2 linked regions of the Caenorhabditis elegans genome follow. Each later gene encodes a partner of the first gene's protein in a complex. Each region holds a gene or a part of one and is shown on either strand. Other genes may lie near its edges.

What was found.
Region 2: mrpl-44 (region 1) and mrpl-32 share a complex: the UniProt entries of both Caenorhabditis elegans proteins name them as parts of the mitochondrial large ribosomal subunit.

What each region holds. Positions count from the first base shown.
Region 1 is NC_003281.10:9,082,434-9,092,011, forward strand, and holds mrpl-44 (Large ribosomal subunit protein mL44), read right to left. Parts: upstream 6,943-9,578; 5' UTR 6,941-6,942; coding exon 6,886-6,940; intron 6,838-6,885; coding exon 6,729-6,837; intron 6,594-6,728; coding exon of another isoform or gene 6,302-6,593; intron 6,256-6,301; coding exon of another isoform or gene 5,658-6,255; intron 5,603-5,657; coding exon of another isoform or gene 5,298-5,602; intron 5,247-5,297; coding exon of another isoform or gene 5,092-5,246; intron 5,047-5,091; coding exon of another isoform or gene 4,809-5,046; intron 4,764-4,808; coding exon of another isoform or gene 4,689-4,763; exon of another isoform or gene 4,311-4,688; intron 4,302-4,310; coding exon 4,226-4,301; intron 4,175-4,225; coding exon 3,928-4,174; intron 3,851-3,927; coding exon 3,695-3,850; intron 3,647-3,694; coding exon 3,400-3,646; intron 2,804-3,399; coding exon 2,714-2,803; intron 2,660-2,713; coding exon 2,455-2,659; 3' UTR 1,877-2,454; downstream 1-1,876. Other genes in the region: far-2 (Fatty-acid and retinol-binding protein 2), read left to right, coding at 1-17; mccc-2 (putative methylcrotonoyl-CoA carboxylase beta chain, mitochondrial), read right to left, coding at 4,689-4,763, 4,809-5,046, 5,092-5,246, 5,298-5,602, 5,658-6,255, 6,302-6,593, 6,729-6,837, 6,886-6,940. UniProt on the Caenorhabditis elegans protein: Component of the mitochondrial ribosome. May have a function in the assembly/stability of nascent mitochondrial polypeptides exiting the ribosome.
Region 2 is NC_003281.10:8,447,085-8,452,033, reverse strand, and holds mrpl-32 (Large ribosomal subunit protein bL32m), read right to left. Parts: upstream 2,278-4,949; 5' UTR 2,277-2,277; coding exon 2,048-2,276; intron 1,997-2,047; coding exon 1,794-1,996; intron 1,748-1,793; coding exon 1,628-1,747; 3' UTR 1,515-1,627; downstream 1-1,514. Other genes in the region: rpn-3 (26S proteasome non-ATPase regulatory subunit 3), read right to left, coding at 3,025-3,324, 3,372-4,099, 4,143-4,517, 4,566-4,677. UniProt on the Caenorhabditis elegans protein: Component of the mitochondrial large ribosomal subunit (mt-LSU). The mitochondrial ribosome (mitoribosome) is a large ribonucleoprotein complex responsible for the synthesis of proteins inside mitochondria.

The sequences.
Region 1 (9,578 bases):
GACAATACGTCAACTAAGAAGTAATAATTATGATATGGTTTTCCAATTATTTTCCCCCAAAATAAAGTATTTTAATTCAAATAACGATTGATTGTTCTCTAGAAAAGATGGAAAGAATTGAAGTTTGGTCGGTGAAATGAATCCCAAATGGCTACCACATGTCGGCTTCACGTAAAGCACATTTTCGAAACTTTCGAGTTGTCTTCACAAAGTTTATGGGTTTTGTTGTGGTTGTTGTGATTGTAAACAATATGGTTCCGAGGTCCATTGAGCAGTTGAAAGAATTGGGTACAAAGTGCAGGGTTACGGTAGCTTATTTGCCAACAACGTAATTCAGAAACTGGAAGGACAAGTTGCATAGTTTTTTGAAGTTTGAAAAGCGCAGGTAGGAAAACTTGATAATTTTTCAAAATTTCCAAAAGAGAATAAGTCAAAAACTAATAGGTTTTGCAAAAAAAATTTCTACATACAAAATATAGGTCATAACGTTTTCTTTGTTTTTGTTATTGACAATTTGTTATCAACTCTTCTTTGAAAAAAGTTAAAGCATTTGACATCTGGCGGCTTAATTTTTTCCAATCATTTTTGGAGCTTTCTGTAATTAACTGAATTTCATGGTATTTTCAATTAAAAAAAACAGATTTTCATTCTTTATGCTCCTCGAATTCGATTCTTCAACATTTTTGATAGAAAATGTTAAAAGTGCGACATCGTGGTCGCGTTTTTGTAAAGCTCATTTGCAGAACTTCATAGCATTTGTCAATCCGTGATCTCTACTTTTCCATCTCTTTTTCAATCGAATCTAGAACATTCCAATCCCTATCATCTTATCTCTTTATCAATTTCATCAGGCTCTTCATTGACCCCATTACACTTTGATGTACCTGCAAACCTTAGTCAATGAGATGTTTTGTTTCAGTTTCATCAGAGGGATCTTCTGAACGCTTCAGACACTTCATAACACACTACAAACCACAAAGTATGTCTATGGCTCAATTGTGTCACGTGATGTCTTGCAGCTTTTTGAGAAATGAAAGAAGAAGAAGCTCAAAAGCACAAAGACAGTGTAAAAAAGAAAAAAAACTAAAGGTGAATCAGGAATCATGAAAAAATCAAAGAAAAAGTGCAACTTTATCTCTTTTTTATCATCACCACCAATTGCTCAAATTGTTCCCATTAATGCATGGAAGATGGAGCCAGGTGTGATGTGGTACTTCTCAATTTGTTTGGCTGAAAAGGTCATTGAACAACTGACTTGAAGAATTATGTCAGATTCTTTAAACTTTCACTCTGACAGAACAAAACTAATCTTGCGTAGTTATATCATTCGATTGTTACGTCGAAAATACGGTACCTGGTCTCAACGCGAATGCGTTTTGTTAAATGTGAAAAGGTGTGCGCCTTTTAAGAGTACTGTGATTTCAAACTTTGTGGAATTTTAATCGATTTTTCATAGTTTTTCTCAGGAAATCTATGTTTTTATATTGTTTGATTTTCGTTTTTTTAAAAGTTTATCGAAAATATGATTATCATAAAAAATATGTATATAATATGTTCATCGAAAAAATATACAAAATATTTTATATTATTATTATTGGCAAAAACAAGTACTTAGTTTAAAGAAGCAGTACGATGTGTTTGCACGTAAAATAAAATGCAAGAGTGCACTCAACAGAGCTCACCAACTACCGTAATCATAGAGAATGACGTCTGAATTTTCTTTTTCCGGATCTGTAAACCTGTGGTTTCTTACGTATTTTTTTCTGTAATGTCCATTACATTGGTGTGATCTATAATCGGTTGATAACTGACTGATAAACAAATGAATGAATTTTTCTATAATTCTATAGAACGCTCCAATTTCCACCTTCCACTGTTTATAAAATATTGTTCAAATTTAATCTTCCATCAACAAACTGCATATCAAATTTCTAATAAACAAGAAGAATCGTCCCATTGGGGCTTATCAAAGGGTCACATCTCTTGTGTATGTGCTCACGGAGCCAGCAGCGGGGTCTTAGATAAATGGGGTTGCATCTGGCCAAGGGGGACCCCATCATTTATCAAGGAGCCGATGGGAGGACAAAGAGCAAAGCGGAGATGGAAGGAAGAAGGGAACAACAAGAAGAGAGGAAAGGGATGCATTATGAATTCAATTTGAATTTTAAATGTGACTAATTTATGTTCCTTTAACAAGATGGGAACTGAATGGATTAGCTGTTGCCAATTTCGACTTCATTGAGCACTCATGTACAAGTGTGGAAATGGGGAAATGTAGTAGAACAAATAACAGAGTAAAATTGAAACTTTCACTATTCTAGCTTGATTTGAAAAATTTAACAACACAAACAAAAATGAAAGGAAAACTATTTGGAACAAAACAAAAAAAGAGGAAAAATGAGATAATACGATTGAAATCTGAAGGTTTAAAGGCTTCTCTCTAGATAATAATAATTAAGCAACCGTGTAAGGCTTCGGCTTGACAAGATATCTGAAGGACCGTTTCGCAAGCGAACCACGCGAGAATTTGTGTCGCAATCGTTTAGTGTAGCTCTTTCCTACTTCTGCATCAACCACATTTCGGTATCGGAGAACTGCTTCAATTAGATTGTCTGGTGATTCAACAGGTTGGCTATGGTCAATAATGTTCGTGTTTGTTCTGAAATTAAGAAGTAGATTTTCATTGATTTTGAAGATTGGTTTTGGCAAATACCCTGGAGAGCACTTCTGTGACAATGAGAAATTCGGTTGAGAGTATCGTTCCAGTGGTACATTGGCAGCACGATCGCCAAAGAAGAGGACTCTGAAAAAATTACTTTATTTTTAATTTCATAGAATTTAAACTTTCGCTGAATATTTTTTGCTGGAAAATCGGGTTATCTAGCTTCAAAATTCATGAATTTCGAAATTTGACTTTTGTTTTCAAAAAAAAAAGACACTCGAAAATGTAACTAGCGTAGTAGGTTCAAAAATGTTCCAAAAAAGCGTTTTAAACAGAATATTATCTGTTTTTCGCTTTTTCTGGGTTTTCGGCGAATTTTATTTTTTCGTTGTCTTCGGCTTTTTTTTGCCCCAGCCCTGCTTCTGATTAAGCTTGAAATTTTAATTTTTTAAATATCATCTAGATGCGAAATTTTGCGCCAAAAATACGGTACCTAGTCTGAACACGAAATTGTTTTTGAAATGTGTACTGTAACTTCAAGCTCTTGTTGCTGCTAAATTTTTATTGATTTTTCATTTTTTTCCCCCTAAAAACTACGAAAAATCTATGATAATTCACACTCTTTTACATTTTACAAAAAAACCGGGTACCGATTTTTTTGTGCAAAAATTGAAAATTTTCGCTTCTCGGTAATAGCTACAGGAGCATCGTATCAAATATTTTTTGATAAAAATTACTTTTCTGAAGTAATATCCCAGAGTCTGAGCAATGCTTCTCTAGCAGCCATATCAACAGCAATTGCCAATGATTCTCCAGCACTTTGTCCAACATTCTTCAATTTGTCCGCATAAATTGCAACAACATAGATCGGCTCTGCGCTGTTCTCTCCGGCCGATCGAAGAACTCGTGGCTCAATTTCAGTGACACCGTTAGATTTTAACAAATCAGTTACAACAGCAAGAGGATCGGCAAGTGGGTATATGTCTGCAATTTATGAAATAAAAATATAAATCTGGAAGATAATACCATTACCAGCAAAATCAATATCAACTAGTTGGGGAACTATGAAATCGATCACAAGATTTTTCACTTTTTCATCAGAGAAAACTCCAGCGAGAGCACGGAAAGCGTCGGCTGAGGATTCTTGACTGATCGGGAATTCTTTTGTACGGACAAGGTGGTCGATACCTGAAATTGAAATTATTTTGAAACTAAATATAAAATGCTGAACTGAAAACAAGATACAATTCGTGAGGAAGTCTCACCGAGATGACTAGCAATACCAGCAAGACATTCATCATCCAAAAGATGAGAATCAATTGCTTCAATCAATTCCTCAGGAGCCTTTGCCAAATGGAATCGCAAATATCTTTTAAGCCAAATCGACAGATTTTGCTCTCCACGTTTCACAAGCTCTGCATTATGTTCAGTTCCAACTTCTGCTCCCGGCTGAGCACTTTCTACATTTTCTTCGACGTCGGCTCTTTGAAAAAATGATTCATTTGTAAGCGCCTGAAAAATGAAAATTTTTCAGATTCCTACTTTGAAATATTTTTAACTTACCTTAATATACTGATCCTCGGATATTTCCGGTGCTCCAATTCTGTGTCCAAAAGCATATAGTTCACTGTCGTAATCCCTGCAAATTTTTAATTTGTCTTTATTCTAAAATTTCTCCTGTAAATATAAGCCATTTCCCATTTCTCCCTGTGTTGTGCAGAATAAATAAAAACATAGTGAATCAGTTTAATATACAATAGAAACGAGGTAAAATAATTAATATATATATTTATCATATCAACTTTATTTGTTTCATAACTAAAGAGAAAATTCCTAGATAACACATAAAGGCACTCGATTGGTATGAAGCAGGTTAGAAATCAACGGAAGCAATCAGAATCAAAGCTATACTCTAAATAAATTTAAACCGTCGTAACATACTAACAAAAAGCTCTATATTAAAGAAAATCCGTATAAAAATCTCACAACAAAAAATACATGAGTGAGATGGTCCTGAATCAACAAGTTACATGCGGAATACACCGAATTTGGTTTCTGGGATTGGCTTTTGCAGGGTTGACTGGAAAGCGAGTCCGAGAACCTGGAAAAATTTGGGTTTTTCTAGAAGTGTTTTGAGAAACCATACCTTTCTGGTGTCTTTTGGATCGATAACTCCATCATCCCAAAGACGAGCGGAAGCAAAGTATGGGTGTCCTTCCTTCTCAAACTTTTCCTCGACAGGTTTACGAAGCTCAAGATCTTGCTGATCCGTCCAGTCAGCTCCCTCGCGCTTCTTTTTCTCTTTTTGAACAGTTGAAAGTACATTCGCTGCCTGTTCTCCACCCATTACGGAAATTCGAGAATTAGGCCACATGAACACATATCTGGAAATAGCTAGATTGAAAGTATCCCAACTATATTTTCCAAACCTTGGACTGTATCCTCTTCCACACATTCCGTAGTTTCCAGCTCCGTATGAACCTCCGACGAGAACGGTGATTTTTGGAACCTTTGCACAAGCGACCGCAGTAACTAATTTAGCTCCATGTTTAGCAATTCCGCCGGCTTCAGCATCTCTTCCAACCTAAAAAATTAGATTAAACTCTGTGAATATTGAAAAATTGTCGAATCATACCATGAATCCAGTGATATTTTGAAGGAAAAGAAGAGGAATCTTCCGTTGACAACACAGCTCAATAAAATGAGAACCTTTCATGGCACTTTCAGCAAACAGAACACCATTATTAGCTAGAATTCCTACACGCTGCCCATAAATAGTAGCAAATCCGGTCACAAGCGTCTCTCCATATCTCTCCTTGAATTCGTGGAATCGAGAGCCATCGACAATTCTAGCGATAACCTCGCGGACGTCGTATGTCTTTTTGAGATTAGATCCCACGATTCCGTAAATTTCCTCAGCTGGATACAAAGGCTCATCAGCTGAAAATTTTGAAGAATGAGAATTAGAAACATGAATATTTTACTATTGTAATACCGTTTGGATTGAAGGTCATATGCTCCTCGACTGGTGGTAGTCCCGCGATACAACTTCTTGCCAAGTACAAAGCATGTTTATCATTATGGGCATAATAATCAGTAACACCCGATTCTCCACAGTGAAGATCAGCTCCACCAAGTTCCTCGGCAGAGATCTCTTCTCCAGTTGCAGCTTTCACAAGTGGTGGTCCTCCAAGGAAAACAGTTCCGGTTCCTTTGACAATAATGGCTTGATCAGACATAGCTGGAACGTAAGCTCCTCCTGCTGTACAACTTCCCATAACTACAGCCAATTGTGGAATTCCTTCGCTGCTCATTGTTGCTTGGTTGTAAAAAATTCTTCCGAAATGCTGGCTGTCGGCAAAGATATCTGCTTGGCGTGGAAGATTTGCGCCACCAGAATCTACGAGATAGATACAAGGCAATTTGTTTTCGCGGGCGATTTCTTGTGCACGAAGATGCTTTTTTACGGTGATAGGATAGTATGTTCCTCCCTTGACAGTCGCATCGTTCGCTACAATGACACAAACACGACCAGAAACTATTCCAACTCCAGTGAGAATTCCACCAGATGGGACTTCCTCTTTTCCATACATCTGAAAAGAAACAGTCAATTTCAAATCGGATACGAATATCGTTTACCTCGTATCCAGCAAGTTGACTAAACTCTATGAATGGTGATCCAGCATCGACAATGCCGTCAATTCTTTCTCTTGCAAGCATTTTTCCACGACTGCGGTGTAATTTCACGGCTTTTTCTCCTCCAGCTTGCTCGATTTTAGATATTTTTGCTTTCAAATCTTCCACGAGAACCTTCATTTCAGCAGTGTTAGCAGCAAAATCGTCCGAAGAGTTGTCGATGGAAGTCTTGATAGGAGCCCATTGAAGAGTTGACTTGTCAGCAGAGCAATGATGATTACGTACTTGCACAGAACTGAGATGGGTTAAGAAAATACTTAAACCGCTTGAGTTTCAAGCGATTTTCAATTGCAATTAGCAGCACAGTGAGTCAATACAGTGGGAAATGGGAAACGGCTTTTGTATGACATTTTTCTGAGAAAAAACTTACCAGTTTGGGTATGAAGATCGGGAAATTGCTGGATCAGCTCCAAGAATCTGTCGGCGATGGTAAAGGTCCTTCAGGTATCCTCGCTCCCATCGAGTACGCAGCAACCGGTCTGGAAAACAGATATTGAATATCAAAACTAATAATTGCTCAAACTCACATGACTGAATGGATGTGTTTCTTGAGCCCAAATTTTGAGCCACGTGACGGAACATTACTGCAATTAAAAGCTATGAAAAACATCGATTTGGAATAAAAGACTGTCCAACTCGAAAAATCAGCGTTCAATGGGCAAATTCTGACGAATTCGGCAAGTAAGAAGATTATTAAGATTGCAATAATAATTTTCGCACATTTTTCGAACTAAAAATCGTTGAAATCGTAAAAAATAAAGGGGAAAAACTTATTTGCAAAGTTGATGATAAGAAAAAAACACCGAGCAAAAACTTGACTAAACTGGGCGCACGCGGGATATCGGAGTCTCGTACCCGACAAAACGCGGGCGTTCAAATTAGAGTTTTTGTCATTTCATTAGAATTTTGATATATGCACAGCAGATATCCTTCTAAAGCCGTTCCATAAGTTGTCAGCAAAATATACAATATACAATTAAATGCTGTATTCCACCTCTATGTTCCCTATGAATTCGTTCTAATTTATACAAGTACAACATAATATGTACTTGCATTGATTACAAGTACATGCAATATTTTCTCACACCATTATACTTGAACACCTGAATCATATAATTGACAGCAGTGACTAATTAGAATAACATGCACGTCTTCCTGTCTGAAATTTATCCGGTCATGAACTTTCCAAGTCATGGGAACCTAGGCAAGTGACGTGGTTATCTAACTAGCCAGTTAGATAACCACGTCACTTGTGCTAAGGTCCTTCCGGTACGCAATCGTATTCTATCTACTAATTAATAATAATTTTCTCATAGCCATTAAATATTTAACTTTCAGAATATTCAAAATGTCAATTTGATAAATCGAATTTAAGATGTTAAGAAAATATTAAATTCAGAAAAAAAATTATCTTCAAAATTCAATACCGTACCGTTCAATTTTTAATAAACATATGTTCTATAGCCCAATTTGATACACCAATTACTCTCAGCAACTCTTCATTTATCTTTTAGGCATTAGGACCTTATAAGGTGGTACCAAAATTTTCAGCCACCTGGCTAATTCTAGCAAGTTCCGTATAAGTAAAAGGTATAAATCAGAAAACTTAAGAATTTGAAAATATCCACAACTGCTTAAAAATTCAATTAAAGTTGTAAAATTAATCCTAACTCCTTGTGCTGTACAAAACCCATTTTATGGAAACATTCAGAATCCCCAATACTTTTTCTCTTTTCTCACATGACCTTATAGTTTATCTTCCGAATGCTGAATGTTTTTTCTTCAGTACAAATGTTTTGAATACCTAGGTAACCTCGAGTATGAGAAACAACATTAACAATGTTTTGGGAGAAACATGTAGTTTTGTACGTCCGGTCCAGTGAGAGTTTTCAACTTATTTTGGAAGAAATTTTTTTTTGACAAAATTTTGCAATTTCCCACGCAGAAATACGGTATGCCCCGTATCTCGCCACGAACATAATATTTTAAATTGACGGAAAGGTGTGCGCCTTTAAGAAGCACAGTAACCATTTTCCGGTTTTTTTTTTGAAATTGCCTTTGATTTTTACTTTTTTCTCCCAAAAACGAGAAATTTAATATAATCCATCAAAATCTTTGTGAACGAGAGAAATATAGTGAAAAACTCAAAGAAAATTGCGAAATGGATTACTGTACTCCATAAAGGCGCACATCTTTTCGAAAAATCGTGAAAAATTGCATCTGACCAACAGTTTTGCGTGGAATCTTCCTAGATTCAAATTTCCTATGAGTCATAAAACTATCATTTTATCGGACAATAACTACACGTGTACCTTGTTTCCATATGTTCTACCAATATAATTTGTGTTCATATGTGGCCAGGTACGGGAAATTAGAACACGGACTGATTTAGGAAGGTTCAAATTCGAGAACAATGGACGACTTGCTGCACGAAAACGTGGATTATTCTGAAACCGCCTATGTGATCACTATCGATTTAGCACTTCGGTTTTCTTTTTCCGTTTTCCTTTATATTCCGTATTGTATGCCGACAATAACGCTTTTTCTTTGTATAAACATTTCCAGAAGCAGAGCAAATTTGTTTATTCCAGAATTGACTGAATATTGAAATAATGTTTACAGACATACTGTAGATTTTTTTCTATTCAAACATGAATACAGTTTTTCGTATTTTTAATCTTCAGATAAGTTTTGTGTGTGTTTTTGAGAATAATATTTAAAAAAGATAAGCAAATATCAGAACTACGGTAAGCGAAGGGGTACGGTCGTCAATTGCGGACTTCCGAGCTGTGCACGGCGCCAAAATTTATTTTGAGTTTTAAAATGATTTTCTTTGTTTTTTTTTCTTTTTTTGACACGATAAGAACATTTTTCTGTATTTCTAATATTTTAAATGAGATCGTAATAAGTTTATTTAGCTCCATCACATTATTTTCGGAATATTCATCGCTTGAAAACGGCGTAAAATAGGTTCCAAGTAAATCATTGCAAACAAATCTCCGTTTATCGTTCTAACAAAGTTTTTCGTTCACTTTCTTATGTAAATCGTTTTCCCCACTTCTTCTTCACGGGAATGATCAATTGAAAGGCCATAAATTGGTTGTTTTCTCCACATTTCGCAACCAACATGCAGCTGTCGGATAGGCAATAAAATAATGTAATCAATGAGTTTTCCGATTTATCCTAACAGTTCTTTTTCTAGTGTTCCTATTCGAAAAAA
Region 2 (4,949 bases), 640 kb from region 1:
GGGTATATCCATGACTTTTAGACAACTAATGAAGATGGACGGGACTTCTTGAACTGATGTTGTGCACTTCAATCAGAAGATATTGTTTTATAGTTCGACTTTCAAAAAAGCACAAAGATCCTACCTGCGTGACTGCCTTCCACGTAGCCTACGCCTTTACAGTGAACGTTCGATAAACTGATTTAAAAAGTAAAATAAAAATGTTATATCTTTTGCACAGTCAAAAAACCCAAAATTTCCAGATATCGAAGCCACAGTACCGGGTCTCGCCACGACTGAAAAATTTACAGATAACTCGCCCGTGAATAAGTGTGCGCCTTTAAGAGAGGTACTGTAGCGCGTCACTTCCCATTGTTCTGTAAATTTCGTATTATTTTAGCCACTTGGTTTACCTTTTTCAGGTAAAGTCAGATATTTTTAATGTTTACTTGCCCTTGTTAACTTTTGTCCCCCTACTTCTTACAGTAACCCAATTCATTCTTTTGCCGACTACTCTCTAAAAATACGAACTCATCCGAAAATTCATGGTATTTCTTTTTTCTTTTCTTTTAATCCATATCTCAACAACACAACTTTACAAGTTGAATAGGAAGGATGGAGGATCGACCGACTGGTACAAAATGCATTCATCATTAGTCTCGAGACAGTGTTGTAGGAGGTGAGACGCAGAGATAGGAGATCGAAATACTCTTGTCACGCAATTCAACTATCAGTCTCAATGTGCGGTAAGAAGCGAACAGATCGAAATAGAAGAGAGAAAAAGTTGAACATCTCTAGAATTCAATGAAATTTTGGGAATCAAATTTTAAAAGTATTGCTGCCTGCTGCTGCCACCTTAGTCGAGTTTCCATGGCTTCCAGAAAACAAACTGTTTATAAGGACTTTTAGAAAATTGGTTTTTTTCGGCAAAACTACGGTACCTGGTCTCAACACGATGATTGTTTTGTTAAATACAAACAGGTGTGCGCCTTCAAAGAGTACTGTACAGTACTCGTTAAAGGCGCACACCCGTTTGTATTTAACGATAAATTGTCGTGTTGAGACCGGGTTTTGACGAAAAAGTCACAAAATTTTGCGCTTTATGACACGTCTTGGATACTCTATAAACCTTTATATTTTTAACTTTTTTCCCACATTTTTGTCTAAAAATTGAATAAACTAATGAACAAAATATTGTTGAATTTTGCATCGTTTCAGAATTCCATTTTGCTTGCATACAAAAGTACAACATATGTGGAATCCCTTACTCACCATTGTAACCCAATATCAAACATCTAAACCGAAGTAATGGATTCCTCTAAAAATCACGCAAACACACATGCAGTTCTCCTACTTCATGTGCTCGAGCAGAGTGATCGTGACAAGAGCACATTAGAAAAGCGGAATGTCAACAAGTGACACACTTTTGGAAACAAGGGTAACCGGAGAGAATATCGATTCAGCTGTTTCACACTTACAACACGCAATGGTTTTGATTTCCACCTGAAACATAAATGGAAAATAGAAATACAATTAGAAAATGGTAAGAGGTTTTTCTATTTATGACTCCAATAAAAAAAAAAATGATGAATGAACAAAAACAAGGAAAACGAACAAATCTATAAAAACCTATAAAAATAGAGGAAAATCATTCTTTTAGTGTCAACTTCTTGAACCAAGTCGGTCGTTCTTTTTCAATTTCGAGAACTCGCTTTCCTTTAACAACTGCTGCCGGTGCATCTGGTTCTCCTCTGAATTTCACATATACCTGAAAGCATTTTATTGGAAAACTAATTTATTTTGGACCAACATACTTCTTTATCCTGTTTCTCTCCAACATATGGATTGTACTGCATCATTTTTTTTTTTATTTCCGAAGTCAATTGATGAACTTTGGCGTAGCAGGCATCACAAATAGTGTCCGATGGATGAATATTCGAGCACGCTGGACATGTCACAAGATTATCAATCGGTTGAAGAAGGCGTGTGAATGAGAACTTGCGAGTTACTTTCTTTGCTAAAAAATAAATTTTGAAAATCAGTTTTTTTACATAACATATAAACGTACGTTTGCTAGTTCTATACTTTGGAACTCCAAAAACAATACTAAAATCGTCAATCATTTCGCGAACACTTCCATATGTCATTGGCAAGTTTTGTGCAGTTGATGATGGATGTGCACCGACATCGCAAGCAAATCCAAATGAAGGAGGTGGTGATCGGTGACTGAAAACTCGCATCAGCGAGTCCATCGACAGCCGCAGGTTTATTATGATCCTTGCTCGAGCCTCATTCATTCTGAAAATAATTTTAAACTTCAAAGAGGAAGAAAAGCAGCGCTATAATCGATCTCGTAGTTAAATAAATTATGTTTTTTAAATGAAAAAAAAATTAAATATCAGAGAGCAATTGACTAAAACTAATAAATTCCAAAATTGAATTCCAGTTAGTTTCAGAGAAAAATAGAGTTTAAATATTAATGGGATTTTCAGTGTTTCCTTTTTTTACTTTTGGTAATACAAAATATATTGAATAAACATAAATATAACTAAAATGATTTCAAGAAAGTTTCTGAACTAAAAGAATTAAGAAAATCGTGCTCGTAATTTCTGACGCAGTTCGTGTGCAGGTAGTGTTTGCGGACATCGTAAAGCAAGTGTTTAGACAAATTACATTATTTTTGTAAAATTTAATAGAATCGTATATTTAGATGTTGCAATACAGTATTTATTCGAAAACTCATGGATTTCTATCACGATAGAATTGAAGATTATTTTTTAGACGATCTTTCTCTTTTAACACTACTTAATTCAGAAATAAAATCGGTGAAAAATACCAATTTTAAACAAAATATATTTTAAAAAGACTTGGTGAAATATGCAATTCATCCTTATAAAATTCATTCGGGTGTGGGAAAAAAGTGGACAGGGATCTCGATTTGAAAAGAGACGAGAAAATTCAAATAAAATACACACAAAATTATTTACGGAGACAGACACGTTCCAATGCATTGTTCAGAATAAATTAAAAAAGTGAGTGATCGGTTTAAAAATCGTCATCATCTTCGTCAGCCAGCTCTTTGGCGAATTCCAACTCTTGCTGCTCGCGTTCACGAGCTTGCTCAATAGTTTCAACAGCGATCTTCTTCTTTGGTGGATATCTGAGAGCTTTGACAGCTTGATTGTGCAATTCGAGGCAGTAACGGATACGAGTATCGAAGTGAGCTTGTGGCTCCGAAGTACGATAAATATCAGCTGTTTCTGAACTTTGCATGTACCGAGGTCCATCACGAACATCAGAAGTGATAACAGCATCGATTGCTCCATCGGCAATAGCCTTCGCCACCTGCAACAATTATAATAAACATAAAACTGTCAATATAAATTACTTACAATGTATTCAGTCTCTGTCTCGTTAGTAATATACAACTTCTTGGCAATATCCTTGATATAAATTCGGGAATACGCCAAAGAAATTTGCTTGATTGCAGTCTTGATGACGTTTTGACGCAGACGAACAATCAATGTGAGAGTATCATCAGCTTCAAACTGTGTTTTGAATTGCTCCAAATTATGATTAAAACGAGCAACATCTCCATCGCGAACGCCTCGACTGAGATCCAGGTAGTGAGCAAGACATTTGCGATAAATTGGTTGACGGAACACACTTCGATCAGGAATCTCTCCTTGTAGAAGACCAATGACAACAACCCACTTCTGAACAGCTTGTTTGAAGCCAATGGCACCTTCTTGTGGAGCTTTTCGCTGAGCTTGCAAGAAATATCCAGCCGCCGAATTGTAATCGAGTTGAAGAGCCTTTATACGTCCTTGATAGTACATGTAGCGGGCAAGATCATTGTTAGATGCATTGTCTGGGAATGCAACTTTGGAGACAAGATGAGCAGCTGATTGATATTGACGGTTGATCAAGTAGCAGCGAAGAAGCCAGCAAATCAGAACGGCTTGTGACTCGGAGAAATTACGGAGAGTTGCAGTACGGAGTCGAGAGTTCAAGAATCCCTGGTGATCGAAAAGACGTCCTTCTCGTTCGTAGATCACACAGAGGAAATAAAGGGTTTTTGCTGCGAGTCCATCCAGTGTACGCCGATCAAAGTTGTAAACTGAAAATTATACGTTTTGTTTGGGTTAAAATATGTTTTTTACTTGATGTGAGTTGATTCTCGCCGAGAGCAAGAGCTTCGGTATTCTTTTTTTGAGCATAAAGATGAAGCAAAACGAGAAGACGCAAGTAGCAATCTGATTCGGGAGATGCAAACACTGGTTTGACGCCTTTTTTTGGAGACTTTGTTTTGACATTCGAAGTATCCATTGGCTGAACTTCAGTATCAGCGGCGGGTGTGTAATGCAAATACTTCAACATTCCTTCGGCGAACTGAGCATCACTGCTTAAATGTGAAGACACGAGTTTGTAAAGAACGTTGTCATTGATCTGCTTGCGAGTTTTCGGCAATACTTGCAACACGCGAGTGATCAAATGTTCTTCTCCTTTGTCGAGAGCAGCTAATTGTTCTTTGATATCTAGAAAAGAAGGCAATCAAAACTTTAGTATTTCTGTATTTCACTTACTTTCAACTGCAATTGCGTTGAGATCTTTTGCTGGCTCGGTGGCTGGGACATCTTGCTTAGCTTCATCTACCTCCATTTTTTCAACGACGGTTTCTCCAGTTTTCGGAGCCATTTCCCTTTAAAATTTGAAAATAAAACGAGTGTCACTAGAATTTGAGCTTTTTTTCACGTAAAATAAAATAAATAAATAAAAACAAACACAACAGAACGTTAATAAAATGAAAAACGATGTTTGAAAAATGATGATTTTGAAAAATAAAAAATAATGCAAGTCTGCTCTGTAGAGAATTTTACATGGGTCTCGCAACGATGTACTAGACGTTTCTCGAATATTCGGTGTGCCTTTAAACACCATTATAAGGGAGTCAGCCTGAGACACGCCCT